Linked DNA regions of Mus musculus. The protein of the gene in region 2 binds, or shares a complex with, the protein of the main gene of each other region. Links are inferred from orthologs where the notes say so. Each region holds a gene or a part of one and is shown on either strand. Other genes may lie near its edges. The genes, in order: Rbm48, Snrpg, Plrg1, Snrpf, Srrm2, Prpf6 and Snrpd3.

The links.
Region 1: Snrpg (region 2) and Rbm48 share a complex: the UniProt entries of both Homo sapiens proteins name them as parts of the minor spliceosome. The link is inferred for Mus musculus from reciprocal best matches to the Homo sapiens genes SNRPG and RBM48.
Region 3: Snrpg (region 2) and Plrg1 share a complex: the UniProt entries of both Homo sapiens proteins name them as parts of the minor spliceosome. The link is inferred for Mus musculus from reciprocal best matches to the Homo sapiens genes SNRPG and PLRG1.
Region 4: Snrpg (region 2) and Snrpf share a complex: the UniProt entries of both Homo sapiens proteins name them as parts of the U7 snRNP complex. The link is inferred for Mus musculus from reciprocal best matches to the Homo sapiens genes SNRPG and SNRPF.
Region 5: Snrpg (region 2) and Srrm2 share a complex: the UniProt entries of both Homo sapiens proteins name them as parts of the minor spliceosome. The link is inferred for Mus musculus from reciprocal best matches to the Homo sapiens genes SNRPG and SRRM2.
Region 6: Snrpg (region 2) and Prpf6 share a complex: the UniProt entries of both Homo sapiens proteins name them as parts of the U4/U6-U5 tri-snRNP complex. The link is inferred for Mus musculus from reciprocal best matches to the Homo sapiens genes SNRPG and PRPF6.
Region 7: Snrpg (region 2) and Snrpd3 share a complex: the UniProt entries of both Homo sapiens proteins name them as parts of the U7 snRNP complex. The link is inferred for Mus musculus from reciprocal best matches to the Homo sapiens genes SNRPG and SNRPD3.

Annotation. Positions count from the first base shown.
Region 1 is NC_000071.6:3,593,748-3,598,047, forward strand, and holds the start of Rbm48 (RNA-binding protein 48), read right to left. Parts: upstream 2,801-4,300; 5' UTR 2,771-2,800; coding exon of another isoform or gene 2,642-2,770; 5' UTR 2,456-2,641; coding exon 2,219-2,455; intron 1,699-2,218; coding exon 1,508-1,698; intron 1-1,507. Other genes in the region: Pex1 (peroxisome biogenesis factor 1), read left to right, coding at 2,642-2,770. UniProt on the Homo sapiens protein: As a component of the minor spliceosome, involved in the splicing of U12-type introns in pre-mRNAs.
Region 2 is NC_000072.6:86,374,540-86,376,970, reverse strand, and holds part of Snrpg (small nuclear ribonucleoprotein G), read right to left. Parts: intron 1,295-2,431; coding exon 1,272-1,294; intron 477-1,271; coding exon 352-476; intron 1-351. UniProt on the Homo sapiens protein: Plays a role in pre-mRNA splicing as a core component of the spliceosomal U1, U2, U4 and U5 small nuclear ribonucleoproteins (snRNPs), the building blocks of the spliceosome.
Region 3 is NC_000069.6:83,054,171-83,058,337, forward strand, and holds the start of Plrg1 (pleiotropic regulator 1), read left to right. Parts: upstream 1-1,367; 5' UTR 1,368-1,475; coding exon 1,476-1,484; intron 1,485-2,600; coding exon 2,601-2,707; intron 2,708-4,167. UniProt on the Homo sapiens protein: Involved in pre-mRNA splicing as component of the spliceosome. Component of the PRP19-CDC5L complex that forms an integral part of the spliceosome and is required for activating pre-mRNA splicing.
Region 4 is NC_000076.6:93,586,859-93,591,081, forward strand, and holds the start of Snrpf (small nuclear ribonucleoprotein F), read right to left. Parts: upstream 2,801-4,223; 5' UTR 2,684-2,800; coding exon 2,681-2,683; exon of another isoform or gene 2,555-2,680; intron 1,266-2,554; coding exon 1,140-1,265; intron 1-1,139. UniProt on the Homo sapiens protein: Plays a role in pre-mRNA splicing as a core component of the spliceosomal U1, U2, U4 and U5 small nuclear ribonucleoproteins (snRNPs), the building blocks of the spliceosome.
Region 5 is NC_000083.6:23,801,972-23,806,024, reverse strand, and holds the start of Srrm2 (serine/arginine repetitive matrix protein 2), read right to left. Parts: upstream 2,801-4,053; 5' UTR 2,627-2,800; intron 2,371-2,626; exon of another isoform or gene 2,028-2,370; intron 1-2,027. UniProt on the Homo sapiens protein: Required for pre-mRNA splicing as component of the spliceosome. As a component of the minor spliceosome, involved in the splicing of U12-type introns in pre-mRNAs.
Region 6 is NC_000068.7:181,646,319-181,649,818, forward strand, and holds part of Prpf6 (pre-mRNA-processing factor 6), read left to right. Parts: intron 1-970; coding exon 971-1,109; intron 1,110-2,707; coding exon 2,708-2,827; intron 2,828-3,103; coding exon 3,104-3,280; intron 3,281-3,500. UniProt on the Homo sapiens protein: Involved in pre-mRNA splicing as component of the U4/U6-U5 tri-snRNP complex, one of the building blocks of the spliceosome.
Region 7 is NC_000076.6:75,516,642-75,520,841, reverse strand, and holds the start of Snrpd3 (small nuclear ribonucleoprotein Sm D3), read right to left. Parts: upstream 2,801-4,200; 5' UTR 2,717-2,800; intron 1,529-2,716; 5' UTR 1,508-1,528; coding exon 1,382-1,507; intron 1-1,381. Other genes in the region: protein GUCD1, read left to right, coding at 3,646-3,688. UniProt on the Homo sapiens protein: Plays a role in pre-mRNA splicing as a core component of the spliceosomal U1, U2, U4 and U5 small nuclear ribonucleoproteins (snRNPs), the building blocks of the spliceosome.

The DNA.
Region 1 (4,300 bases), on a different chromosome or scaffold from region 2:
AAAAGAGCACTTGCTGATCTTTGAGAAGAGCAGAGTCAAATCCCAGCATCCATCTTGGGTGGTTCACAACCACCTGTAACTTCAGCTCCAGGGGATTTGAAGTCTTTTTCCATACCAAAAAAAAAAAAAAAGTTTATGAATAGCAAAAGCCAGAAAAAGATATGGTTTAGATAAGGTTAGTGATTAAAATGAAAAAATGGCTAACATGAGCTAGGAAGGCTGCTCCGGTGGAAAAGCCCTTGCTGGAGTGCCTTGGCTCAGACCCCTGGCATGCACGTGAAAGCCAGGCACCGCACTGTGCCTGTAATTCCAGTGCTCACAGGGTAGAGATAGAAGGATCACTGAGTTTGACAGTCACCAATCTAGCCAATGAGCTCAGTGAGGGAGGGGCCCAACCTCAAAAAATAGGATAGAGTACACTGTAGTGCACACAAGCCTTTGAACCTGGTGGAGATGGGTAGGCAGAGTCTGGAGGAAGTTTTGAGTTCTAGGTCAGCTGGTCTACACAGCCAGTTTCAGGCTAGTGTTCACTCACATACACACACACACACATACACACACAGGAATATGCACACACATGCACCCCCCCCCCCCCCCGCCAAAAGGGGTTAACATAAAATAAAGCATTCCTTATTGGAATACAAAGTTGATTAACATAGAACTATACAAATAAGAACTGTCATTACTAATAGTTACTTTTTGTTTGTTTGCTTGTTTTTTGGAAACAGGGTTTTCTCTGTGTAGCCCTGGCTCTCCTGGAACTCACTCTGTAGACAAGGCTGGCTCCACCTCAAGAGGTCCACCTGCTTCTGCCTCCCTGGTGCTAGGATTACAGGCATGTGCCACCTCTGCCCGGCTCTACTATTTCCTCTTAATAGGAGGTACCAGTCTACTCCCTTTACATAAATTGTCCCATTTCATCCTTGCTCAGTGAACCTCAAGAAGTAGTCCTTTTTGCCATATGGATTTTAGGAAAAGAACAAAAATTTGCTTGGAGGACTAAAATTCTCCACAGTCATGAATCCACAGGACTGATAATTTACTTCAAACGTAATTCTTAATCTACCACACTACAGGTTCAAAATTTGCCAAGCACAGGTATGAGAGGATGGGAAGAGTATTGTTGTAAAGTCAGCCTTTTAAAAGCTTGAAGGAAGAGCTGGGATGTCACTCACTGTTAGAGTGATTAAGTCGCAGATGTGAGGCCTGGTGAAAAACAAACTGGAAGGCGAGGTGGAGTGGTGCATACCTTTAAACCCAGCACTCGAGAGTCAGAGGCAAAGGCAAAGGGATCTTTGAGTTCAAGGCCAGCCTGGTCTACAGAACTAATTCTAGCACAGCTAAGGCTATCCAAATAAACCCTGTCCCCTCCCCTCCTCCCCCCAATCAGGAAGACTGAGAGCAAGAAGTGCTTCTGTGCTTTGGGTACATTTGGGAAACAGTTGGGGCCAAAATGACAGCAACAGGAATAAGATTTTAACAGGAGTTCTGCTTAACTTGTACATACCTTGCACTCTGTAATTTCACAAATTTAATGAGATAAACTTCTGTAAAATCTTCCGCTGGGTATTCATCTAGAGCGTTATACTGTTCAATCGCACCATACAGAGCAAAACGCTCAACTAATTCCTTCATGGCTCCCACTGCAGGAACTCCTTGTATTAGTAAGTACTGAGACTCCAAATTGATTGTATATACCTAAAGTCAAAGGAGACCTCGTTAAATGTACTCTTCAAACAAGCCTATGGCAAATCGGTCCTCCCACCCCCTTTTAAATGGAGCTTTGAAAACAAGAAACAATCCGGTCTGCAAAACATACACACTAAACTGTCACTCTTCTGCCTAAAGACTACCACACTCCACATAAGGGTATCTGACTAAACCACTTAACAGACGTCTTTTCCAAAAGCTGACTCCAGAGAGGTTAATGTAAACAGCCACTGAACACTCACTCACCCTGGGCTTGCCCTGTGAGAAGCGCTATTGTAAACACATAGGATACAAAGCTAAAAATAGTGGGTTGGAGGTTTGGTAAGCAGCTAACCGAGGGTAGTGATAACCTTTGGTACCGGGGCCCGGGTTCTTCGTGCCCCCTCCACTTAGAGATGGATCTCACAACATCCCTGCCATGCCTTTATGGAGGCAGGCCTTGGGGAGCTAGTGCTCACAGGAATTTAGTGTCCCTGCCGAGGGGAGAGAAGAATCCGAGTCACTCTACCTTGACCGCGCGAGGGCGTCGGCCCTCCCGGTATTTGGCCCGCGAGTCACACACAGCCGTCTGGACGTGGTGATCGAATACGCCACCAGGTTTCCCGTCACTGGATGCCATCTTGCCGGCTCTAGTCCCCCGCGCCAGAACAACATCCGCCAGCCGCGCTCCTCTGAGTCCAATAAGAGAGCAGGATGGACCAGGCGTGCTAGGATTGGCTGAAGGATCGACCCCATCGACGATCATCTCCTGAGAGCGAGAATTCGACGAGCGACGTGCCGCCCCCTAGAGCTTCGGAGGTGGCCCGAGGGTGACAGCGGCCGGGCGTGGGAAGAGGGGGGCGGGCCTGATCGATGTTCTCGGGTTCCGACGCTCTCACCTGACGAGAAGCCGGTGGACTCCGCTCTCCGGTGAGAGTTGAACCTTGGGACAATGTGGAGCAGCGATCGCTTAGCGGGTGCGGGGTCTGGTGGGGCGGTCGTGACGGTGGCCTTCACGAATGCTCGGGACTGCTTCCTGCATCTGCCGCGGCGCCTCGTGGCCCAGCTTCACCTGCTGCAGGTAACGCGCTGGCGGGACGCGGACACCACTGACGTCTCGTGGGACTAGGGTCAGCTGACACCTTTTCCTGCAGGGACATCGTCTGCCACCGACCCCGAGCTGAGGCGTGAGCGAGGGCCCCCTGCGGGCATGGCGTGGAGTGGCAGCGTGTGCATCCACACCACGGCTAGTGTATCCTCAGACCCTACCGTGGAATTCCTAGTGCACCCCTTTAACTCGGTTAAAGCAAGCTGAGCATGCAAGGGTTCTGCCCCAGCAGTCAGAAGCGGCCCTCACTCAAGGATGGAAAGTTCTAGAGAGCTCTTACAGGTTTGCTTACAGGTTGCTAAAGCATTATCCTGCCAACGAGTTGCCGGTGCAGCGATAGAGGTGTTGAGTGGCAGACTTGGTTTGTAGATTACCAAGGTTTCCAACCTGTGCGAAAGGTTAATAAAAGGATAGATAGCTCTCCCTGCTCCGGAGGACTTCGAACATAGCAAGAATATGTGCGGCGAGGGAGGTGGGGCGGGGTGACAAGGTGATGGAATTATTCACACCCCACACTTTCACCTCGGTAGCTAGGATTACTTGGACCTCAGCGAGCTGTCTGGATTCTGTCATTATGGTGTTTCAAGGCTATTAACCATCGGTGGAAATACAGCATCCATATTTTCCTAAGAGTGAGCAGAAATAGACTCTCTTAGTTTGAGTGTATTCATGGGGTTAGAGTATTTGAAATCTAAAATCCTAGATGCATGGTACCTGAACACTGGGTCATAAAAAAAATATACAAGAGTTTGAAATGACTTCAAGTATTCTACCTTTATTTCCTCTTTGCTACATTTATCTTGCTTTTACAGTCCACCTATCAGAACACACCAATTTCATCAGAACCATTCTTACTGTTAGTTTATCTCCACCAAATATTCTCTAACTCTCTGGTTTGCTTTCTGGTGACTGAAAGGAATCATTCACTGTTACCAAATCCCAGCTTGGATCATTATTCCCTGTCATTTCTGATGGGGATTTTTCAGTGTATTTTCAAATCTCAAATTAAGCTTACCACCCCATGAGTTTAGAAAAATGCTTCCTTATGGTCGCTAAGAATTTGAACCTGACATGTTGTTGCTTCCTTGGATTCATCACTGTTTAGGAATTACATAGTCTTGGTCTTTATTATTATTTTTATTATTATTTGAGAAGTGAAGAAGTAAAATACTAAGCATTTGGATTAAGTCTTGCATGCTTATATCTAATCTTTATTGTTTATAGAAAGGTGGAGCTAGATACACATGAGGTTTCCTGTCCTGGTTTTTTGTTTTGTTTTGTTTTGTTTTGTTTGTTTTTTTCGAGACAGGGTTTTTCTGTGTAGCCCTGTCTGTCCTGGAACTCACTTTGTAGACCAGGCTGGCCTCGAACTCAGAAATCCGCCTGCCTCTGCCTCCCGAGTGCTGGGATTAAAGGCGTGCGCCACCACGCCCAGCTTCCTGTCCTGGTTTTGTGTAGTATTAATATGACTTTTGTTGAGAGGTCATTGCTTTTAGCAATTAC
Region 2 (2,431 bases):
TTAACAAGATATCCTGGGGCATCAAAAGCATGCTAGAGAATTTGTACTGTAGTCAAAGTCTGCATATGCGTGCCCATCTCTTACAGGGCAAAGCTCAAAAATAAATCCCTTCAGCTAGCTGTTCCAAGACCTGTGCTGAGAGGGTCCTGCAGGTGAGAGCTTGTCTGTAGGTACCTGGAATAGTACCACAGCTGGGTGTGTCCACAGGTAAAAGGAAGGGGGAGGTGCAAATGCCCAGTCTTCCCTTTCATTTACCTTTCCTCGGTAACTAACTTGGTTTTAATCTGAGACTTTGATATGAGGAATGTGAAGGAGGGAGGAGAAGACCCTGGAGATGCTGCCCTTACTCACCACCATGCCAATGTTGTTCTGTTGCCCACTGGTTGCCATCTCCACACACTCGTCAATCACAAGGTTCATAAAGGGATCAAAGCCCCGCAGTATTCCTTGGACATGCCTGCCACCGTTTAACTTCACTGTAAGAGAAAGAAGAAGTCTCAGTAAACCAAGTTCAACCATCCATCATAGATCAGGTGGGATGTGTGACCACCACTCCTACTATCTGCCTAACCATGGGCTAATTCTATCCTAATATTCCAGTTCTTCTTTGCCTATATCTTAGCCTTTAAGACCCTGGAGACATTACCTGTGAGTCTCATGGCTGTAATCCCAGCACTTGGCAACAACAGAGGAGGGCTGCTTCAAGAGGACTGTGAGACCAGACAGGGTCACATAACGAGATCTGGTCTCAATGACTGTCCCCCCCCCCCCAAGTAAAACCGCCTCAACATTTATACATAAATGTATTTGTAAGTAAATTTATACGTAAAGTAGTATCTTTACACAAATGAACCAGTTACAAGAGTTTAGAGCTGTTGAATGGTAGAGAAGAGAAATCCTAAAATTTCAGTATACTTCAATTGCATGGGTCAGGAGGTTTCTAGTTAAACCTACACATCCACAAGAAACATCAAGTGCTGCTTGTCCAACTCCCTGGTAACATATTTAAAGGAAAGGGGCTGATAAAGTTTTAAATATTATAACGTAGGACACTGCTAATTCAAGGCCAGGGAGGCACAGATAATGTAATTAAAGATAATGCAATTAGAAGGCAAAGAAAAAAAGTCTAATTAGAACTCTGACAAATCTGATTAGTGGAGAAGAATTAGATGTCTTATATATTAAATTTCTATAACACATTTCCAAAGATTACATATTGCCAAGACAACAAAAAGAAACCAAGTAGTTAGCTGAGGTGGATGCAAACTTACATGATAACTTCTTGTCCATAAACCTGGAAAAGCAAGAGCAAAAATTAGGACTTATGTAAAAAGTTCTAAGCACAAACAAGCACAGAATCAGTAAAATTAAAGTGATTTGCTTGGGCTGGGATGAGATGTTAGGAGGGTTCGATGTTCCTCCAGAGGGCCTGAGATCTCTTTCTAATATCCATGTCAGGTGACTCACCACCTCCTGCAACTTTAGCTTGAGGGTACCCCAGGGCACCTACACTCAAATGCACACACCCTCACATACAAAATAAAATGTCTTTTTGAGACATAGGGTTTTTCTATGTAGCCCTGGCTATCCTGGAACTCACTGTGTAGACCAGGCTGGCCTTCAACTCCCCAGTGTGGAAAATTAAAGGTGTGCCACCAGGCAAAGTTAAGTCTTTTTCCTTTTCTTAAATTGCTAAAATCTGGGCTGGTGAGATGACTCAGTGGGTAAGAACATTTGCTGCCAAGTCTGATTTTGATTCCCAGAACTCACTGCTGGAAGCAGAGAATGAATTCTTTAAGATGTCCTGACTTCCATACCTGGCATATGTACACACTTACACAACCAATGTAAAAATCCAAACCAAACCAAACCTACAATTTGTACCCCAGACACATAACATTTAAAGCAGTAAGGATCTTGTACTGTTTGGATATGAGTGTGTGTGTACCAGGGCAGTTGTCATCAGATACCCTAAAGCTGCCATAGGCAGTTGTGATTTGCCCAGTGCAGATGCTGGGAACTGAACTCAGGTCCCTTAACTGCCAAGTTATCTTCCCAGCCTCAAATCCGGAACTGTTGACATGGGCTAGGGAACTTACACTAATGTAATTACAAAGATTTGGTTACATTTGTGTGTGTTATTACAGAGATCTCTGTTATTACAGAGATTAGAGAGATAGCTCAGAGGTTGAGTGCACTGACTGCTCTTCCAGAGGTCCTGAGTTCAATTCCCAGCAACCATATGGTGTCTCACAACCATCTGTAATGGGGATTTGGCATCCTCTTCTGTCATGCAGGCATACATGTAGGTAGAATATAATAAATAAAATAAATGTTTAAAAAAATTAAATTTGTTTGTATGGTGCCAATACAGAAGTCAGAGGACAACTTCAAGGAGTTGGTTCTCTCCTTCAACCATGTGGTCCCAGAG
Region 3 (4,167 bases), on a different chromosome or scaffold from region 2:
CATAGCAAACAGAAAAACCCAGGTTCCTATATGAACAGGAGATCTGTGTATGATATGTGTGATTTATGGGTCTCATGACTAGATAATAGGATCACCCAAGCTATTCATTTAAGAAGGAAATTTTCACACGGGTGGCTTAATTCAAGAGCTGTAAGAAGAGTAAAACCTAGTGTGGTTTACCTCAGTAGACTGCCCTTATGAGCCTTGCATAAGCTGTGTTCAGGATGACTAAGGTATCTCACAAGTTTAATGAGAGTTGTCTAGTAGTTATATTAACATAGATACATTAAGGTCTTTCTTACATTTCCTTAGTGTTTTGTGATTTAAAATGTTCTTTTCTATGGCTATTACTATTTCCTTGCAACGTGCACAAACATTAGCCACTTTTACAGAAAATAAGATCCTTTGGCTAAACTCACATTCACATTTAGAAATGACTACTTGCGGGCTACAAAGATGGCGCTGACGTTAAGGCTCAAAACTAAAAAGACTAGAAATGTCCATTTTCAGGTTAAAAACACGACCTTCATGTTTTTAATGAATTAAAATATAAATCGAGCGAGAGCATTGCTGTATCGGCGCTACGTTTCATCCTTCTCAAAGTATTCGCAGTATTCTGAGGACGGTATCCGTGAACTTAACCACAGTTCAGGAAGACGCACAATCTGTGAAAACGCCTTAAGATCGCAAATAGCAACTACATCAATACAGAAAACATTTGAAAACGATCGATCATATAAGCCACAGATTTATTTTTAACCTGGGTAAATCACAAAACCTCAACACTTTAGCGTCAAGCCAAATAAAATAAAACCAACTTAAGTTCTCAACCTTTTTTTTTTTTTTTTTTTAATTGCTTGTTTAAGCTGGACAGTGGTGGCGGCGCACGCCTTTAATCTCTGCACTTGGGAGGCAGAAGCAGGAGGATTTCTGAGTTCGAGGCCAGCCTGGTCTACAGAGTGAGTTCCAGGACAGCCAGGGCTACATAGAGAAACCCTGTCTCGAAAAAAAGAAAAGAAACGAAAAAGTTGCTTGCTTAAAACCTCCAAGTAAGGAGCACCAAGCTTCTGGAAGCAGGTACCGCCCCTAAACGTTAAGGCTGGCGCGCTCCCTTAGCTCCGGCTGAAATCTCCGCCCTCAGGCAGGAGACTCCGCCCAGCTCCGCCGAGACCCGCCCTTCTGCCTGGAGACATCGTTCGTCCCCGCCCAAACCCCGCCCCAGTCCCGCCCAGCGGCTGCCGAAGTCCCGCTCTCCTCCAAGAGGCTCCGCGCAACTCCGCCTAGCTTCCGCCCTCCACCGCTAGACTCCGCCCCTCGACCCCTGCGCGGCGGGTTGCCAATACGCATGTGCGGTTAGCGTCACGTCCGGCGACGGGCCCCAATCTCCGGAAAGAGCTGCCGAATAGTGGCGGCGTTTTCTGCGGCGATTATTTGAGTTCCTTCGCTGCTGGAGGGGTAGACTAAACGGCGGCGACATGGTGGAGGTAAAGTGATGCTTGGGTACTTGGGAGTCGTTTGTCCCTGGAGCTTTGCTTTGCCCACGGAAGTGTAGGATGAAAGTGGTGGGAATCTGGGGAAAGGAACTGTAGTCAAAGCTGGTGGTCTCGGCACGTCGGGGTGGGAGGAAGGCCGATGACATCCCAAGTCCGAGCTTCAGTCGGCGGGAAGCCTGAGGGAATCCTGCAGTCCGTGTGTTGTCGTAGGTACCTGGCCGTCTCCTGGGAGGCGGGGCTTCTGATGTTCCCACCGTGGCTGGGATGCTAGTCCGTGCTGTCTTGTCAGTTCCACTGTTATTTCATCTCTACCGCAGTAGAGGCGTGCGGTTCTTGATTTTGTTTGTTTGTTTGTTCTTGCGTATCCCAAACGTTTCTTACTCCCACCCACTGCGTTCCAGGTCCACTGCAGTCCTCCGAGTCTAGCCTAACATCTTTTGCCCGGACTCATTCAATAACTTCCAGCTGGTCTAAGTGCTTAGGATTAACGAACACATTGCAGGAGTGTAGTTCAGTGCTGCTTTCTGTTCCAGTGTTATAGAGTAAAAATGTTGGTGGTGGCAGAGGTCTAAACCTCACCGACCCTGGAAACCCACACTTCCGCAGCATTCACAACTGCTGCGGTTCTGAGTTATCTGGACACCTTTGCAGTGGGATTTCCCACACTTTCACTGCTTGTACCTCTATTCCGTGTAAGGCTGTCTCCCTCTCTGCTTATCACCTGAGAGAAACCTTTCTTGATTATATCTACCAATTCTCCCCCCACCAACTCATCCCATTGCCTATTTTCATAGAACCCTCCAAAAATGTGGAATTATTTTGCTTATTTTTGTCTGTTGCCTCTTGAGTACACTGCATGCCGCATACAGTACTAGCTCGGTAAATATCTACTGAACACATTGTAGGCATTACTCAGTTACTTTTCTAAGAGCTCTGGCCAGACAGGAGCTTTCTCATCTTCGTTGTTGATTGCTGTAGTTTGTTACAGTTATTGAGGAGTGTATATCCTTCTCCATATTTAGCGTGGAAATTGCATAATGACTCTCATGTCGATTAGGGTGTATGGGTCTCTTGTTAGATGTGTGATTTTTGGCTGTCTCTTTACAGGAGGTACAGAAGCATTCTGTACACACACTGGTGTTCAGGTCATTGAAGAGGACCCATGACATGTTTGTGGCTGATAATGGAAAACCCGTGCCTTTGGATGAAGAGAGGTAAGCTTTATTCCTTTTCAGTTGCTAAAGTATTTAATATTAACAGAAGGGTGCAGAGAGAGGGGAGGAGGGGACTTTGAAAGGTCTTAAAAGTGCATACTCACAGGACGCTTGGGCAATAGCAAGTGGCTTTCTAGTGTAATATAAGTAATGGTAACTCATTTTTCTATTGTCTTGTCTTCTGCAGTAAAAACATCATTACCTAACTATAGTTTACAGGCACCCAGTGTGATGATTTGAAAGAGAATGGCCTCCATAGGCTCATGCGTTTAAATGCTTGCTTGGTCTCTAGTTGGTGGAGCTGTTTTGGAAGTATTAGGAGGTGTGGCCTTGTTAGAGGAGGTGTGGCCTTGGGGAGAAGCTGTGAGATTTCAAAAGCCTACACTATTCCCAGTTAGCTCCCTTATTGCTTGTCTACTCCCTCCCTCTTGTCCAGCCCCCCACCCCCACCCCACACATCATGCTTGCCAATCAGATGTAAGCTCTCGGCTGCTGCTCCAGCACTGTGCTTGCCTGCCTGCTCTCATGCTCCCTACTCTTATGGCCAAGGACTCTATCCTCTTGAGCCATGACCCCCTAGTTAAATACTTTATTTTCTAAATTGCCTCCAGAATGGTGTTTGCCATAGCAATAGAAAAGTAACCAGTACCCAGTAATTAGGGGCATCCCTGCTATGTCATCTTGTTTGTAGTGAATCAGTTTGTGTGTGATTTTAGCTTCTGCTCTCAGACTCTTTGTTTTGTTTTGTTTTGTTTTGTTTTTCGAGACAGGGTTTCTCTGTGCATCCTTGGCTGTCCTGGAACTCACTCTGTAGACCAGGCTGGCCTCGAACTCAGAAATCCGCCTGCCTCTGCCTCCCAAGTGCTGGGATTAAAGGTGTGCGCCACCACTGCCCGGCTTCTGGTCTCAGACTCTTGTTCTGCTGAAATTGTACTTGGCCAGTACTACTCCCATCTTTGCTCCGTGGTGTAGTGAAGAGTTTTGAGTGGCATATTTTTGCTTCTCGCCAGCCCTAGTCTGGGAATTGTGTTATGTGCAGTGCCTTTCTTTGCCCTTTGCTTTTTTTTAATAATCTACTTAATTTCCCTCATTTGCATTCATATTTAATTTATAAGGTAGATTATCTTTTTAAGTAATATAAGTACATTTCTCTTTAAAATGCTGAGCTAGCCAGGCGGTGGTGGCCCACGCCTTTAATCCCAGCACTTGAGAGGCAGAGGCAGGCGGATTTCTGAGTTCGAGGCCAGCCTAGTCTACAGAGTTGAGTTCCGGGACAGCCAGGGCTATACAGAGAAACCCTATCTCGAAAAACCAAAAAGTAAAAATAAATTTAAAAATATAAATAAAATGCTGAGCTAATTTAGTGCTTTCATTGGGTCTAACTTTTTAGACTACTAGTAAAGATATCTATACAATTTAACTATATTCAGACATTTAAAGTTTAAGCTATATTAGTTTGT
Region 4 (4,223 bases), on a different chromosome or scaffold from region 2:
CCTTGTCTGACTTTGATGGGCAGCAGGCATATACATAGTACACTGACAAGACATCCATAAAATAAAATTAAAAACTAGAAATCAAAATGAATGAACAGGTTGAGAATGTAGCTTAGTGGCAGACTGCTGGTCAGCATGTACAGAGGTCTGGGCTTGATCCCTACAAGAAACTGGACAGATGGGGCTGGAGAGATGGCTCAGCAGTTAAGAGTGACTGTTCTTCCAGAGACCCTGTGTTCAATTCCCAGCAACCACACGGTAGCTCACAACTATTTGTAATGGAATCCAATTCCCTCTTCTGGTGTGTCTTAAGAAAGTGACAGTGTACTCACATAAAATAATGTTTTAAAAAAACCAAACAAACATAATAGACTGTAAAAATGCGTTATAGCTATATAACGGGATATTATTCAGTCCTGAAAAGCAGTAACTTCTATCAATGAATCCTGAAGCTATAATCAAACCAGACAAAAGGACAAAAAGCCTACCCCAGGGCATTTATGGGGCTTTGTTCCAGGGCCTCTAGGACCAAGGGTGTTGGAGCTCCTTGTTTCAAATAGCTGAGCATCTGCATAGAACCTAATGTCCTTCTAATTTCTAGACTGATCATAGCCTAGTACAGTGGAGAAAGCAAAAGGACTGTGTACCTCGAACATAAGATATAATTTCTCTTAAGAATTTTTGATCTGAAGTTAGCTGAATTTATAATACATTCCACTTACATGAGAGACAGTCCCACTCTTAATCATAGGGCTGGATTACAGGTGGATTACAGGTGGTAACAGAACTATTTAATGGGTACAGAGTTCCATTTGAGTACTAATGCCACTGCATCATAGTGCTAATCGCCTATACAGACACGTCTTAGAAAAAGACAGGCTGAATCATTGTTTTCTGTAATAAACTAGTTTTCCCTTCTGCTTTAGAGACCAAATGTCAAAGCTCTGTGTTCTGGTGTAAGTACTCCTAAGAACATCATGGTTCAACCTCCTCCCTGGTTCATACTTTAATCTCGACTCCACTTTCTATTGTCAATCTGTGCGCATTCCCACCAGTCTCAGTAAACCTTTGAGGAGTAAGGTGACACAGTAGAAACCTGGTTTCCTGCTCCTCACCCATGCTCCTCCTCCTCAGCATACCTGCATGTTCATGTAGCCATCCACGGAGACCAGGTAGCCCTTGTACTCCATGCCCCACTTAAGTTTCACCATCACTGGCTTCCCTGTCAGCCCATTGAGAAAGGGCTTGGGGTTGAGGGGTAGACTCTGTATAAAAACCAAAGGCAGCACTCAATAATTTTTGCTTACCTCAGCTTCCACCACCCACTCTCTACTGAGACACCAGTCAAGACTTTATGACACAGGGTAAACTCCGATCCACCATCACTTTATAATTTGCTGGAGGGTGTCTGAGAGAAATTTAAGTACCCATTTAGCCAACTTCATAGTCCACTGACAGAAACGAAAATATGAATTATGCAATTAAATGTCGAATGACAGATGGGAGTGGGGCAAGTGTGTAACACAATGACAGGGCACTGCCCTAGGATACTTAGGTCACTAGTTCCATTTTGAGCACTGCCGAATGGACAAAAGCCCCAAATACCTACATTATCCAAGCTCTAAAGGAATCAAAATAAAGGTACAGGGTGGTCTCTGCAGACATTAAAAAAAAAAAAAAAGCTCAATATCGTCAGTGAGAGGGCCTCTTAATGCTAAATCAAGAAGTATTATTCCCTTTAAATTCATAACCACCCCCATACTCCATTCCACTCACACACCATCCCAAAGAATCTTGGAGAGCACAGGGTCTAAATGAGTAGCCAATTTACGCTGCCTATAATTTATCATCCACAAACCACTTATCAAGTCATGTACTATTGTGACTTAAAAGAATGCTCCAATGGTCTCTAACTGCACTTGACAGAGCCTCATATTTCCTAGGAGGCGTTAAGGTCCCAGGCTGTATTTTAAAACCATCATTCTTGCAAGCAGCGGTCAATTCTTGTCAATTCCAACTGGTCAAACCTACTTTCTACTTGGAACTCGCGCAAGAAATACTCTTCCACCTGCTCTGTGACCTGGATGTCTGGTTATTTGACACCTTCTGGAGAAGAGCGCTCCTCCACTGCGTTATAACTAGGCAGTGCACCTCTCAGAGCATCCTATCAGCTCCCTGCTTAACAATCACCGCTACTTGTAATTGCTTATTTTGTTGTTATTATTTGACGGCTGCCTACCTCCCACTCCTAAGAAAACGCAGAGTCTACCTTACCACCCCATCTTCCTGGCGCCTAAGATCAGTATTAAATGAGTGGAAGGGTAGCCGGGGTTTTCTGCGCCAGAGGACAATCTGCTAAAATTGTCAACAGCAAGGAATAAATGGCGCACTGCGGAGCGTGCTAGGTAGAAATGGAAAACTCGCTTCGGTTTACCCCTACCCTGTGAGCCCAAACTAGGCTACACCTCAGGCTCCGGGACAAACAACACGCGGAAAGGTGGCTGGGGATCTCGGGGAGGGGAAGGGCTTCCGCGCGCGCGCCGCCAAGGCCTCCGACGTCGGGAGCAGGAGCGAGCGGCCAGCCGCGCGGCGCCTCGTGGGGATGAATGGGAGGCGCAGGGGGCGGCGGGCCCCGCGAGGCCGCCCGTCCTCCAGCCCCCGCGGCGCTCATCGTCCTTACCATCGCGACCACCGGCGAGCGCTGCACCCCGCTAGCCGCCGACTCCGCCGCTGCCCGCCCCTCGTGACCGGAGCGGCTGCCGCTACAACCAAGCGACCCGCGCTAAGAGAAATGGCCGACAAAAGCGGCCTGACCTTTCACCTCACGCCGCGTTGTCTCGGCTTCTGTGATTGGCCACCAAAGACGTGTTTACTGATTGGAGGGGATGGCGGTACTGTTTCCTAGCAACCAGGTAAGCGTGTGTTTGTGTCCACTGCTCAAGTTCGAAGTGGGAACGATTGAGCGACCCCAATGTCTTTGCTTCGGGACAAGGGGAAGCTAAGTGCCCTGGCGAACGGACTTGGTTTCTTTAGCTAAAGAAGGTTTAGTCTGTCCTTCAGCTGAAAGAACGAGATCGGGTTCTGGAGGTCATCCTCCCATAGATCCAGCACTTGGGGAACACCTCTGGCACGGCCCCCCTTTTATGGGACTGTTCTTTATTACAGAATGTCCGTCCACTTGCGGGTTTTTAAAGGAAGCTGGGGTAGCAAGACTACGTGAGTGCTAGTGAAAAGCACTCAAGTGGGGCTTTACAACAGTTGAAACCAGGTCAAGTTAAGTCTCGGATAATGTGGTGGCCTCTTGTCGTTCTGATGTCTAAGCATTCCCAGAACCAGAGGCCAAAGGAGGTCCGTTTACGTGTGTTTGTGAATAGGATGTGGGGAATTATTGACGCTACCACAGGTTAATCGCTCTGATGGAAAGTTATCGATCAGAACCCCGTTTAATTTCCCCATAATCTCAACATTTCAGTATCGCTTCACCTGTGATATGAAACCCGTGTAAAAAGAGTACTTTTTTCTTTTTCGGGAGATCTAACCCTATATGAACCTGAACGGTTTTTTGTTTGTTTGTTTGTTTTGTTTTTTTGGCATGGATTCCCCAAATAACTCGAGATTCGAGATTGGCCCAGGCCTAAGCCTAAAGACTGTCGTTTATATTATTAAAGTATGCCAACACATTCTGGGGGTGTTGGCTCAATGGAGAAGAGCGCTTTTCGCACGTGAAAAGACCTGGGTTCGAATCCCATCCCCACATGGTGGTGACTCACAACCATCCAAAGTTTCATGTGCCGGGGACCCATCTCTCTCTTTTGACTTCTGTGGGTGCCAGGCCCTCCCGCGGTGCACATGCGCACATGCAGACAAAACATGATAAAGAAAATTTTAAAAATGATGCTGCTAATCTCAGATACATTTTGATCAGACCGAAATCTTAGCTCGGATTTTTTTCCCATGGTAATGGAAGAATAATTACTGTTCCTGACACTCAAATATGCTCTACTTATTCAGTCAGCATTGACAAATTTATAAATCTTAAACTCACAATCCTGGGGATACCTAGTCCAACTTCTAATTTAATACTGTAGGTGATGAAATACTGGGAATTAGACTCAGACAGATTCATGTTAGTATTTTTCTCCTTGTATTGAGCTGTCTTCCGTATTCTGCAAAGGACCAAGAGTAAAATGCACAAGGAGAGATACGTAATAAAACCAAGACAG
Region 5 (4,053 bases), on a different chromosome or scaffold from region 2:
TCCATACCTTTAATGTAAAAGTGTTGACTTTCAATCAATCAATCAATCCCTGTTCTGACACTTCATTGTTTTTCTAAGTCCTGCTTTACTCTCCAATTTAACAGTTTTCCTGTAAGGTTCTACCTTTTCATGGTGTTCCAAGCTCAGCATCACTAAACTCTCAAGCTCCAGTTTTTTGGACTGTATTACTCATTCCCTATTCCCTTCTAACTATGTATGTTTTACTTTTTTCCTCTAACACATTTTCTCCAAAATAGGGTCTCAAACATGGGAAAGAAAACTAGCATCAAAACACACACACAGGGGAAAGCAGAGGTTAGTAAAAGCAGATAGCAGAGATGGAGCTGGGTGAAATAGTACCATATCAATGCCCGGTTTAAAAAAAAAAACAACAACAACAACAAAAAACAAACTGAAGTGTGTTGCCTGGTTCTGGTGGCACTGCCTTTAGTCCCGGCACTTGGGAAGCAAGGCAGGTGGATCTCTTGAGTTCTAGGCCAATCTGGTCTATACAGCAAGTTCCAGAACAACCATGGCTACAAAAAAAAAAAATCCTAGTCTGGGGATGGGGACATGTCACCAAAGTGCGGGGGGGGGGGGGGGGGAATCAAGGAAGATGCTGAATGTAAAGCAAACACCCAGATGCACTTTTGCCCCATTTCATCCTCAAGCCTAACATAAGTCCTACTCAATCTCAACAGTTAACACAAGAGGAAACTAAAAGCAAGAAAGGTAAATCTAGGAGAGACAACAAGAGTAAGAGATAAGGCTAAATCTAAGAAATGCAAAACCTTTTTTACAGCCCCCCCCCTCTAATGTTTCTGTAGTACCTTCTAACAACCACTCTTGATAGTCTTGGAAAAAGAAAAACCAATCCTTCCTCACTCTAAATCTAGGGCTTATATTGCTTTCTCACCTAACAGTCCTTCTAACCACTCATATTTTCACCATTTCACACAAAAATCCTCCCACACCCTACCTGAAGAATGAAAGCTAAGCAAAAAGTATTAGAGTCACAGTTTTGGAGAATTTTCAGAGACGAGCTAAAGGGGGAGGGGGGACTTACATACCAGCAGCCAAAAACAATGCTTGAAACACTAAAAGGGAAACCACAACTACCAAAACCAGGAAGTATTTAAAACAGGAGCCCAAAGCATGCAAGCCTCTCCAAGAACAAATTGCCGGCAAGGGAGGAAAACTTATCAGAATGCCAAAATACAAAGAGGTAGAAAATTAGCAAACTAAGATATTCAAGAAACAGCGACCGAGAGAACAGCAATGATCAAGGAAAAGGACGCTGAGTAAAAAATACAGAGAACTCAGAGCTGAGACACTACTGACTGCATAGGCACCATGAAACATACAAGCTACAGTATACATCCAGGCCTAGGCCCCACTCCCACGGAAAAAGGCAATAGTTTCCTTTTGAATCCACAATTAAGAGACATCTTAAAAGAACTGTAAGATGGAAACAGCAAGGAAGAACGTCATCACCAAGTAATGGCTGACTGAAGCCAGGCTATTAAGTCAAGAATTTTTTCCCCATCGAAAAGCTCTAAAAGGCTTAGCTTTAATATTTGAGGAGACCTTTTTAAAAACAGGGTAGGAGCCGGGTGTGGAGGCAGAGGCAGACGGATTTCTGAGTTCGAGGCCAGCCTGGTCTACAGAGTGAGTTCCAGGACAGCCAGAGAAACCCTGTCTCCGGGGAAAAAAAAAACAAAAAACAAAAACCAGGGTAGGAGCCAGACATGGTGTCTCATGCCTTTGATCCCACAGAGGCAGGCAGATTTCTTGAGTTCAATGCTAGCCTGATCTACACGGTTAGTGCCAGACCAACCAAGACTATTTAGAGGCCCTAGCTCATAAAACCAAACCGTAAAAAAGAAATAAAATAACAGGGTTGAAAGGAGCACATTGGTCTTCCTTATACACGCAGGCTGAATACTTTCGCGGTTTTATTATCCTCACTTTTTAAGACTTGGGGATCCCCCACCCCCACGCACACACTCACAGCCTCTGATACTAACGAGGACGAACGGTTTAAATCCTGGCCTCCGAAAGTTCAAGGCCTCCTCCCGCCGCCCACTGGGCAGCCCAGCTTATTTTCGGCCTCGAGGAGGGGGGAGGGGGCCACGCGGCGCCCCGCGGTCTGGGCGGCTCTGGCCGTTTCTCAGGCCCCTAGCAGGGCCCGTGGACCCACGCCGGAGCCGATCGAGGAGAGGTACCAGCAGGTCCGAAGCTCGGGCGGGGGACAAGTACCTCCGCTGCCGCCCTCTCCCCGCCCCCTAAAAGACCGAAGAGGACGACCGCGGAACGACGGCCTCCTCAGCCCCAGGTAGAGCAAAGGAGAGAAGCAGAGCCTCGCGCAATGCTGTCTCACCGGGGGCGCGCGGACGAGACCAGGCGGCCGCGCGCGCCGCGGCCGTGTGGGGGAGGGGCGGAGGAGTTGAAGGCCGCGCGTCCCAGGAACCGCGGGAGGGGGAGGGGAGGAAGGGAAGGCGACCGCGCCGGCCGAGGCGACGAGCACGCGTGCGCGCGGCGGCCTGGGCCGTTCTCCCCGCGCTCTAGCCTCCGGCCCAGCCCGCCGCCCCTCCCCCACCCGGCTAGCGCGCTCCCTTTCTCTCACCCGCCGCCGCCGCCTCCGGCCGCCGACTGTCAAACAGGGAGGTCCCGCCGCAGCTGCTGCTTAAGTTTTCGTATCCCTCGGAGCCTGAAGCCGCCGCCTCGTCGGTCCGCCCGCCTCAGCCGCCGCCGCCGCCGCCTCCTCGCTTCCTCAGGGGCCGCAGCGGGCTTCGACTGCGCCACTCGCACCCCGCCTGGGCAGCGTTGCGCGTCAGCACGACCTAGTGCGTCAGCACGCAATCATGAGAGCCGCTGGGCCCTCTGGGAACCGTAGTGCGTCGTGCGCAGGCGTTGAAGCCACAAGGAGGACCTTAGGCGAAGGGACGTGCTACTGAAAAGTCGAAAAACCCCGAGTCCCGTCGGGCACTGCGGGGAAAGGCGTGGCTCCGTACCGAAGCTGCAAGGTCGGCTGAAAAAAAACTTCTGTAGGAGGGGGGAGGGGCGCGGGGGCCGCAACCCACAACACCCGGGAGTAGCTCAGACGCACGCCTTCCGCGCACAGAGTTCTGGGAGCTGTAGTTCGGTTTTAGAGAGAAAACGCGTAAGACTCCTCCGCTAGGCAGGGTCGCCATTTTATGTGACCGTGTTGGGTGGCAGTGGCTCAGCAGCTTTACCTAGTCACTGTGACCATGGTTTTCTTTAATGTGTACGAGGCCCCACAGCACCGAGTCTTCTTCGCAGGAAGAGGTGCTTCAGAGTCAAGCCACCTGACAGCTCTGGAGCCACTTGAACCCGGCTTCTGGCCCAGTATCCGGTGCTTTCCACAGTTTCCACCTCTGTAGTCCTATCTGAAGTGGGGCTTGCAGACCACTAAAAAATACTTTCTCTTACCTTTGGGCAAAGAGACTAAGTGATTACTTTTCGCCTATAGAGACTATGCCATGTAAGTGGAGGAATGTGAGAATGCAGTTCCATTTCCTGGCCCTATAGCACGGTTCCGGGAGTTTGTCCCAGTGCCTCTCACTCGGTAGCAAGGGCCCCACCACTGAGGCACTGAAAGATCCTGGCAGAATGTAAAAGGACACAGAAGCCCTGAAATTGGCAAGATAGACGTCAGTGTTAGCAGAACTAGCTTCACTGATTTAGAAAAATAGAGGTGCACAATGCTCTGGCCACTCCTTGAACCTGTGTGTCTGCCAATGTTCTGACCAGGTGTGTGCTCATTGCTGCACCTTCATTAGACTCTCCTTGTACCCCTCCATACCCATTTCTTGAGAATAGACATTGTTTAGATCTGGAAATCCCCTAATCTCCCCCTTCTCCTTTCCCCCCTGAGGGCCTATAAAAACTGGAAACTCTTTCCCCTCGAGGACGACTCCTCTACCCCTGCGTGGGATATGAGTTGTCCCCAGAGCTCTGGCTTTCCCCAAATAAAGCCTCATGTGGTTTGCAACAAGCTCGGTCTGTCATGAGTTCTTGGGTGTCCGATAT
Region 6 (3,500 bases), on a different chromosome or scaffold from region 2:
AGTTCTTTATGAAAGGACCCTTAGGATTTACTCTGTAGAATGTCACTTGGTAGTCATGACTTGTGGCCTTAGTGTATGCTGCTGCCTACTCACATGTTTCAATGGTTAGCTCCCTCCCACAACCTATTCTTTCTTTGCGGCTAGCTCTCAGACTGATGTGGAAAGTCATCAAGACTTGGGCCCAGGGGCTGGCGAGATGGCTCAGTGGTTAAGAGCGCCGACTGCTCTTCCAAAGGTCCCGAGTTCAAATCCCAGCAACCACATGGTGGCTCACAACCATCCATAACAAAATCTGATGCCCTCTTATGGAGTATCTAAGGACAGCTACAGTGTACTTACATATAATAAATAAATAAATCTTTAAAAAAACAAAACAAAACACTTGGGCCCAGGGCTCTGGGGAACATGGTGGTGTTTCTGTATGATACGGATTTGCATATCCTTCGGTTTGCTCGTGAACATGAGGGCACGTGGGGTTCATCAGTGAAGGTGCTATGACCCACAGGTAGTGGTGGCCAGAGATGACCCAGAGACTTCATACCCAGTATCCAAGGCTGACAAATATTCTAGTTCAGTAATGTCCTTAAATCACTCTCAATGAGACCTTTTTTGGGGGAGGGAGACAGGGTTAGGGACCTTAATCTTTATTAGTGTATCCAGGGTATCCTCTGAGCTTCAAGATAAAAAGGCCTTCACTGTCACCAGACTGCCATGTTATCAGTGCCCAGGATACATGGCTATAAAAGGCTCTGCTGTTTAAACAATGCTTTGCTTTATAGAGCACTCTTCAGTAGTTGATTTTAGATTCTTTGTTGGAAGGAAAGATTTCCCCACACTCTCCCCATCGTAAAATCTTGTAAATCATTAATAGTACCGAACTTTGGAGTGGTAACTGTCTTTTCAGCATCTTAGTAGCTATATGCCCTGATTTATGGCCCTAGCTCTAGTGACCATGTCCTCTATCTTTCAGGGAGTCTCTGGAAGCACTCTTGCAGAGGGCTGTAGCCCACTGCCCCAAGGCAGAGGTGCTATGGCTCATGGGTGCCAAGTCAAAGTGGCTGGCAGGGGATGTACCTGCAGCAAGGAGCATCCTGGCCCTGGCCTTTCAGGTAGGTGAAGGATACCTGCCCTGGAAGGGGCTATGAACACAAACTCAGATTTGGTGCTACTGTAGCCTCAGAATTTATTCTATACAAATTTTTTAGGATATGCCATGGTCTAGTCTAGAGACACTAAATTATGTGCATGGCCTGATTTATGGGGTCAAAGCATGAAGAACACCCCAATCAGGAACATTGACCTCTTAGTCATACTTAGTATGACTGTAGGCTAAGTATTCTAGAGTACAAGGGCAAAGCACAAGCTGCCAGGGTATTTTAGTACCTCTTTGAGAGTGGGACCAAATTAAAACAGTCGTACTTACCTGGACTGACTAGGTTTGCTGTTACAACATGTATCGTGTGTATGTGGCAGGCATGGTAACTGTGTATATGTGTGTGGGGGTGTGTGTGTGGGTTGTGTGTGTGTACGTACTAGAGGTCAGCCTAGAGTATCTTCCTCTATTGCCTTCCTCTTGTTGTTCATTTATTTTAAGGGCAGGATCCTTCACTGAGCCCGGAGCTTAGAGCTTAGAGCCAGTTTGGTTTATCTCACATCAGCTGTCTTTAGAACCCGTCTGTCTCCACTCTCCAGCACGGGGTTACACATATGCATTGCCATGCCTGACGTTTACCCACTGACATTGCCCAGTAAGCACTTTACCCACTGAGATATCTCCCCAGTCAACATATAACATTCGAAAAATATTTCTATCAAAAAAAATCCTAATATTTTATCATAACATAGGTGTTAGATTATTTTAATAAGTTATAGGATGCTATATAAATATCAGTCTAGTATCATAGCCTAAGGTCACAGTAAAGTTTGTTCTTGTGAGACAACAGAAACATCAGAAAAAGAGCTAACTTGGGTCAATCTTTTGCTCCAGCTGTCACTTGGAAAGGACAGAGGAGCAAGTGGTAGTGCTGTGCAGAGAGATAGTGCTGTGCAGAGTGATTGATGTTTTTCCCACATACAGTTTTCTCGTCTAGTTGCATGCCAAAGCTCTAAGATGGTTGGTTCTCCTTTCCCATAACAGTAGGCAGCATGGCCATGTAGCAGAAGTCCCAGAGGAAGGTGGATACAAGTTCTGAGTGCACCACTTTTACGTCTCCTGGACTGTGTGTTTGTGTGGCTTGGCCCATGCCTTTGGGAGCCCTTTACACGTCATTATCTGCACCTTGAACATCTTTCTACCCTGACCATATGGTGTGGCTAGCCAAGGGGAAGGGATTAAGTTAGACAGAGCAGCTCCTAACACAAGGCATGCGTTTTAGAGGCTGTGTAGAATTTAGACGGATTCTAGAGAGGGCGGCTCTACAGCTCTAGCATTGTTGCTTCATCTGTACAAGAGTAAAAACAAATGTGAAGTTTTAGGTTTTTTGTGTTTTTGTTTTGTTTTGTTTTTCCTTCAGGTAAGCTTGGGTCCTGGCTGAGGTCTACCCAGTCATCCCCTAGTTTGTAGCTTGTGCAGGAGTGTACTAATACTAGTCATGCATCAGGGAGAGGGCCAGCTCAGTTTTGAGGCTGCCTGTTTTTGATTAAGCATAATCTAGCCTTGGTCACTTCTGTGATGAGCCTTTCTGATGCAGCTGTGTTTGTTCTCCAGGCCAACCCCAACAGCGAAGAGATCTGGTTGGCGGCTGTGAAGCTGGAGTCAGAGAACAATGAATACGAGCGAGCCCGGAGGCTACTGGCCAAGGCTCGGAGCAGCGCACCCACTGCCCGTGTGAGTGGTGACTGGTGGGTTAGGGAGAGTTGGCAGGGTGCCTCTTGGCTCCCGCATGGCGTTTGGAAGGAGACAGATGAGTGGCACAGCTTAGACCCCAGCCCTGTCTTGGTATTGGCTTTAACATGCATCCCTTTATTTATCTATACCTTTTGTATTTGCAGAAGAGCTAATACAAAAACGGATGAGGCCCAGGACAGATGTGTGAAGATGTCTGTGACTTCAAGCATATGATGGGAAGTGTCCCTCATGTGACAGTGCTGTTCTGCTTTGCAGGTATTCATGAAGTCTGTGAAGCTGGAGTGGGTTCTGGGGAACATCTCTGCGGCGCAGGAGCTGTGTGAGGAGGCTCTGAGGCACTATGAAGATTTCCCCAAGCTGTGGATGATGAAGGGGCAGATTGAGGAGCAGGGAGAACTGATGGAGAAGGCCCGGGAGGCCTACAACCAGGGGGTAAGCCTCTGTCAAGGTATCCCAGGGAACCCGGCAGCATGACATGGCAGCAGTCATTCCCACGCTGGGAAAGAAGTGGAGGGCCAGTGGTCGGGGATAGAACTTTGTGCTTGGAATTGAGCCTTTGTTCTTCCTGTCACTGTGGGTACTGTGTTTTTTTCCTACAAAGTTGCACACCCTGTGTTTGGGATATATAGGGTTTGTTCAGTACATCAAAAGT
Region 7 (4,200 bases), on a different chromosome or scaffold from region 2:
TCAGGAGACAACAGGTTGGCACCCTCCAGCTGCCACTCTGGGGGACCTGCCAGGGCATTCACGCTGCGACAGCCCTTCCAGCAGGCTGCCAGGGACTGACCACAGCAGAAACATCAGAGCCAGTCCATTACTGGCTCCAGTTACTCCTCTTACTTGGGTGAAACTTCCTCAGCACCATGTTGTAGCCTGAGGCTCCTTTTGCTCACTCTGCCTTCCTTTCCTGGACTGAAGACCCTCCTGCTACGATGATTAATATTACCGACTTGATGGATTTAGAATTACTGAAGGGACAGGCGTGTCTGCGAGGGATTGTCTAGGTTAGGTGGAGGTGAAAAGTAGAAACTGGGCTAAGTCCTGGCACTCATCTCTGCTTCCTGACTGCAGATTCAATGTGACTAGTTAGTACCCTCCTCAAGTTCTTGCCACCATGACTTCTTCTGCATCAGACTGTCTCATCACACTGTGAGTCGAAATAAACTCCCCCTTCCTTAAGTTGCTTTGGTCAGGAATTTGATCACAGCAACAAGCAAAGTAACCAATCACTTCCGCAATCCTGCTCGGTCACTGGCGTCCTTCACGCCACCTCCCCAAAGTCTCTGGTGTATCTAATTCTGGGTTGGCATTTACAGCACAGAGGATCCAAAACAACTCCATCCTCATTTTATTCAGGGGAGAACAAGTGACCAGGATACCCAAGGTCCTATCATTATGGCCCAACTCAATTTGGAATCAGGGAATTCTCTGATTCCAAAGCTCAAGTTCTTAATTAATGGGGAAAACCCCCAAACCATATGCCAAAACTTTGGCAGTTTTATCAGATGAAACTTTCTCCAAGACAAAAGTAAGCACACACAATACGTGAGTAGAAGATCCTGCAAATTATACACTGTGCTGGGAAGCAGACACTGGCTCTGAACCTGACCGACTCTGAGACAGAAAAGTGAAACTTAACTGGTTGTTTTATAGACAAGTACTTAGCAACTGTATTTGGCTAAAGGCTACCTGACAGTAAATATAGACCTAACCCCAGAGAAATCTAGGAAAAGAGATTGTGCTTTCAATTCAGCATTCTGACTCCCTACCAAAAGCAGTGTGGTCTTGCTATAAAGCCCAGACTGGCCTTGAACTCGAGAATCTACCTCAGCCTCTCAAGTGCTCGGATACACACGTACAACCACAGGCTGTCAAATGACTTTTCTGCCTCAAGGCTAAGTCTATACTGACATAAAATCTTAGAGCCTGTAAGAGTGCTTGACAGGTAATAAGTACTTAGTTAATAACTGTTTGATGAGAATAACTTCATTAAGACCTCCAAGTACACCGCTCTACCCACAGGATAGAAGCCACAGCCCTTTCCCAGCCCTGGTGCCAAGCAGGATACCTGACAGTTCATGTTGTCCTCTGCTTCAATGAGCTTCCCTCGGTATACTTCCCCGGTGTTGGTCTCACACGTCACTATGTGGCCTTCAGCCTCGTGCAAGACTTTAATCGGCACACCAATAGACATCTTGGCAGGACTCTTCCCGGGCTACAGGGAAAGAGAGACGATGGTCATCTTTCAGAGCTTAAGGACTGGCACGCCATGGGCTTTGTAAATGATGTCAAGAGCTGCGTTTCCTGTGGAAGGAGTGTGGCTCTTGGCCTCAAGGAACCACCACAGCAAATTAGCGCAACACGTAGGGTAGGGAAGGATGGTAAGCTGGACAATGAAAAGTAATGGGAACAAAGAGTACTACCCCCATTCTCATCCCAGCCATATGACCCTTTATAGTCACTAAAAGGGCTATGATATAGACCCGGAGTGTAAACAAATCACTGTTTACATGGAGTTAAATAAAATGCAAATAAAAGCAAACTCAGTCTTTCAGTCACACCAGAAATATCCCAAGTAGTCAGCCACCACATTTGGATAAAGGCTACAGAACCTAATAGTACATATAGACCTGAGCCCCAAGGAAGCTAGGAAAAAGAGCTTGCGCTTTTCAATCCAGCGTTTTGAATCCCCACCAAAAAGCAGACCAAAACTGTCAAGGCTACGGTGCTATAAATAGGAAATGTTCATCAAGCAGAGAAATAGGGTAAACGCTCGACTTTAAGTCTCACTACAAGACAAAGACTATGCACAGGGCTTTTAAAATGCTGAGATTGGAAACGACTCAAAACCGGAGCACACCATTTATTTGCATGAGAAGACTGTAAGGATGCTAAACACAGTCTCTCTCTCTCGGTGAGGAACCACGGCTTTCAACTTTAGGAGTGTGGGTTTCCATGCTGAAAATGGTAGGGAAACACTGCAGGATGATAGCCAAAGGTTCAAAAAAAAAAGAGTAGCATCTACAAAGTGGATCGAACATATAGCACGGCAACTTGATTAAACTTCTGCAGCAGCGTGGAAAAGAGGGCCACTGCAGGAATGGGAGTGGAGGCAGGGATGAAAGGGACGTTGTAAATGATGATCCAAAAGGAAAGGAGGTAATTAGCAAGAAATGACTGCCCGTAAGCTTCGGAAATCGGTGACCTGAGAAGGCACCGAACGTGCAGACTAGGCGTAAATTAATAACTGTTCAAGGGTTCGGGAGATGAGCTTTGGATAGGCCCTGGCTTCCCGCCCTCCGCTAAGCAAGCCCCGCTGAGCTCCTCCGCAGCGGCCCTTCCAGCTCCTAAACCCCCTGGGGAAGCCCTGGCCTCCTCTCTCCCGTTAGCCGCCTCTCCTCACCAATTAACTGCAGGCTTTATTTTTTTTCCGGTTCTGGCACAAACGTTAGAAGGCGAAGGCGAGAGAACGACCGGCCCGACTCTCACGAATACCACGCGCTCCCAGAATGCCTTGCGCAGGCCCCTCCCTTTCCTTTAAGCCTACTTGCCCTTCACTCTCACTTAGCCGGCTGGGGAAACCAGGGCTCTAGCACAATAGTTCCGGCACCGGAGAGGGCCCGGGGGACCGCCGGAAACACCAATCCTGGAGCCCAACAAGGGAACATGGTAACCCTGAGTACTGTAGTGGCGGATTGGGCGGGATCTGGGCTTGAGCCCAGTGCTCTGGGGAGACAGGAAGTGAGGCTTGGACTAGAGATTTAAGCTTTGGATCCGGCCACCGGCAGGTAAGGGACGCACTGAGCCCTGGGAACTCTCATTATTCCTTGTCTGGGTAAGAAGACCTAAAAGGAGTCGGGAAAGTGTTCCCTGGAGTCTCGATAAGGCACTGCGGAGAACCAGAGCTTCCATCTGAGGCTGCAGAAGAACAGACCTAGCGGAGGGAGAGCGTGGGGAGCCCACGTCGCTAGGGGAAGGGCTTTGGGGGCGGGGCTCGGGGAGGGGCGGGGCTCGGGGAGGGGGAGGGGCCCCCGGAGCGTTTCAGGGAAGGACCTACGGGTAGCGGGTTCTGGAAGGAGAAGTGGGGGTGGAAGGGAAGAGGCGTGGCTTATGGAAGGGGCGGGTTTCCAGCGCCCAGACCTGGAAGGGATTAGGCGTGGCTTGAGGCGGCCTAGCCACCGCCTACCCGGCTCTGAACCGCGGTGGCGGCGGCGGCGGCGGAGGCGGAGGAGGAGGAACTCTGCGCTCACTGGCCGCGCTCGCTGCCCAGCAGAAGTCGCCGCTGCAATCAGCTCCAGGCCGGGGCCATGGGCGCCCTGCGCCATCCGGGTCATGAGGACGGAGGCAGAGGCAGCGGGGCAGCCGCTCGAGCCCGGTCAGTGCCTCTCTTCAGGGCCTTGCCTTCAACCGGGGGAACGGAGGGGGACTCCGCCCTAGAGCCGGGCAGGGTCTGGCCGCGCGCGACCTTGGGTCGTCTGCGGCCTCAGCCCAGCCTGGAGCTTCTAGTGGGTCCTAGCTAGGTGGATATTCCTTCTCATCTCCTGTCCTCCACTTAGGGTCGTTCCTGAGTCTCCTGGGGCTTGAAGCCCAGGGAGTGCTGAGAGCCGTCAAGTGGAAAAGTCCAAGGGGCAAAAAGGCACAACCTTGTCCAGAATCGAATAGCCCTGCTTGAAGCACGTTGGGTGATCCTATTCCCCGGGGAACTGTGGAAAGCCTGAGGCCGAGAAAGAGGGGGAAAGAATGGCTTGAGAGCTCTCAGCAAAGGGGCGGGAAAGAGGGGGAAAAGAATGGCCTGGGAGCACCCAGCAAAGGGAACATCTTTTTCTCAGCGCTTTTTGTCTTGGTACTGTTTTGGTTACTCGCTTACTGGTTCCCTCTGCCCTGAGG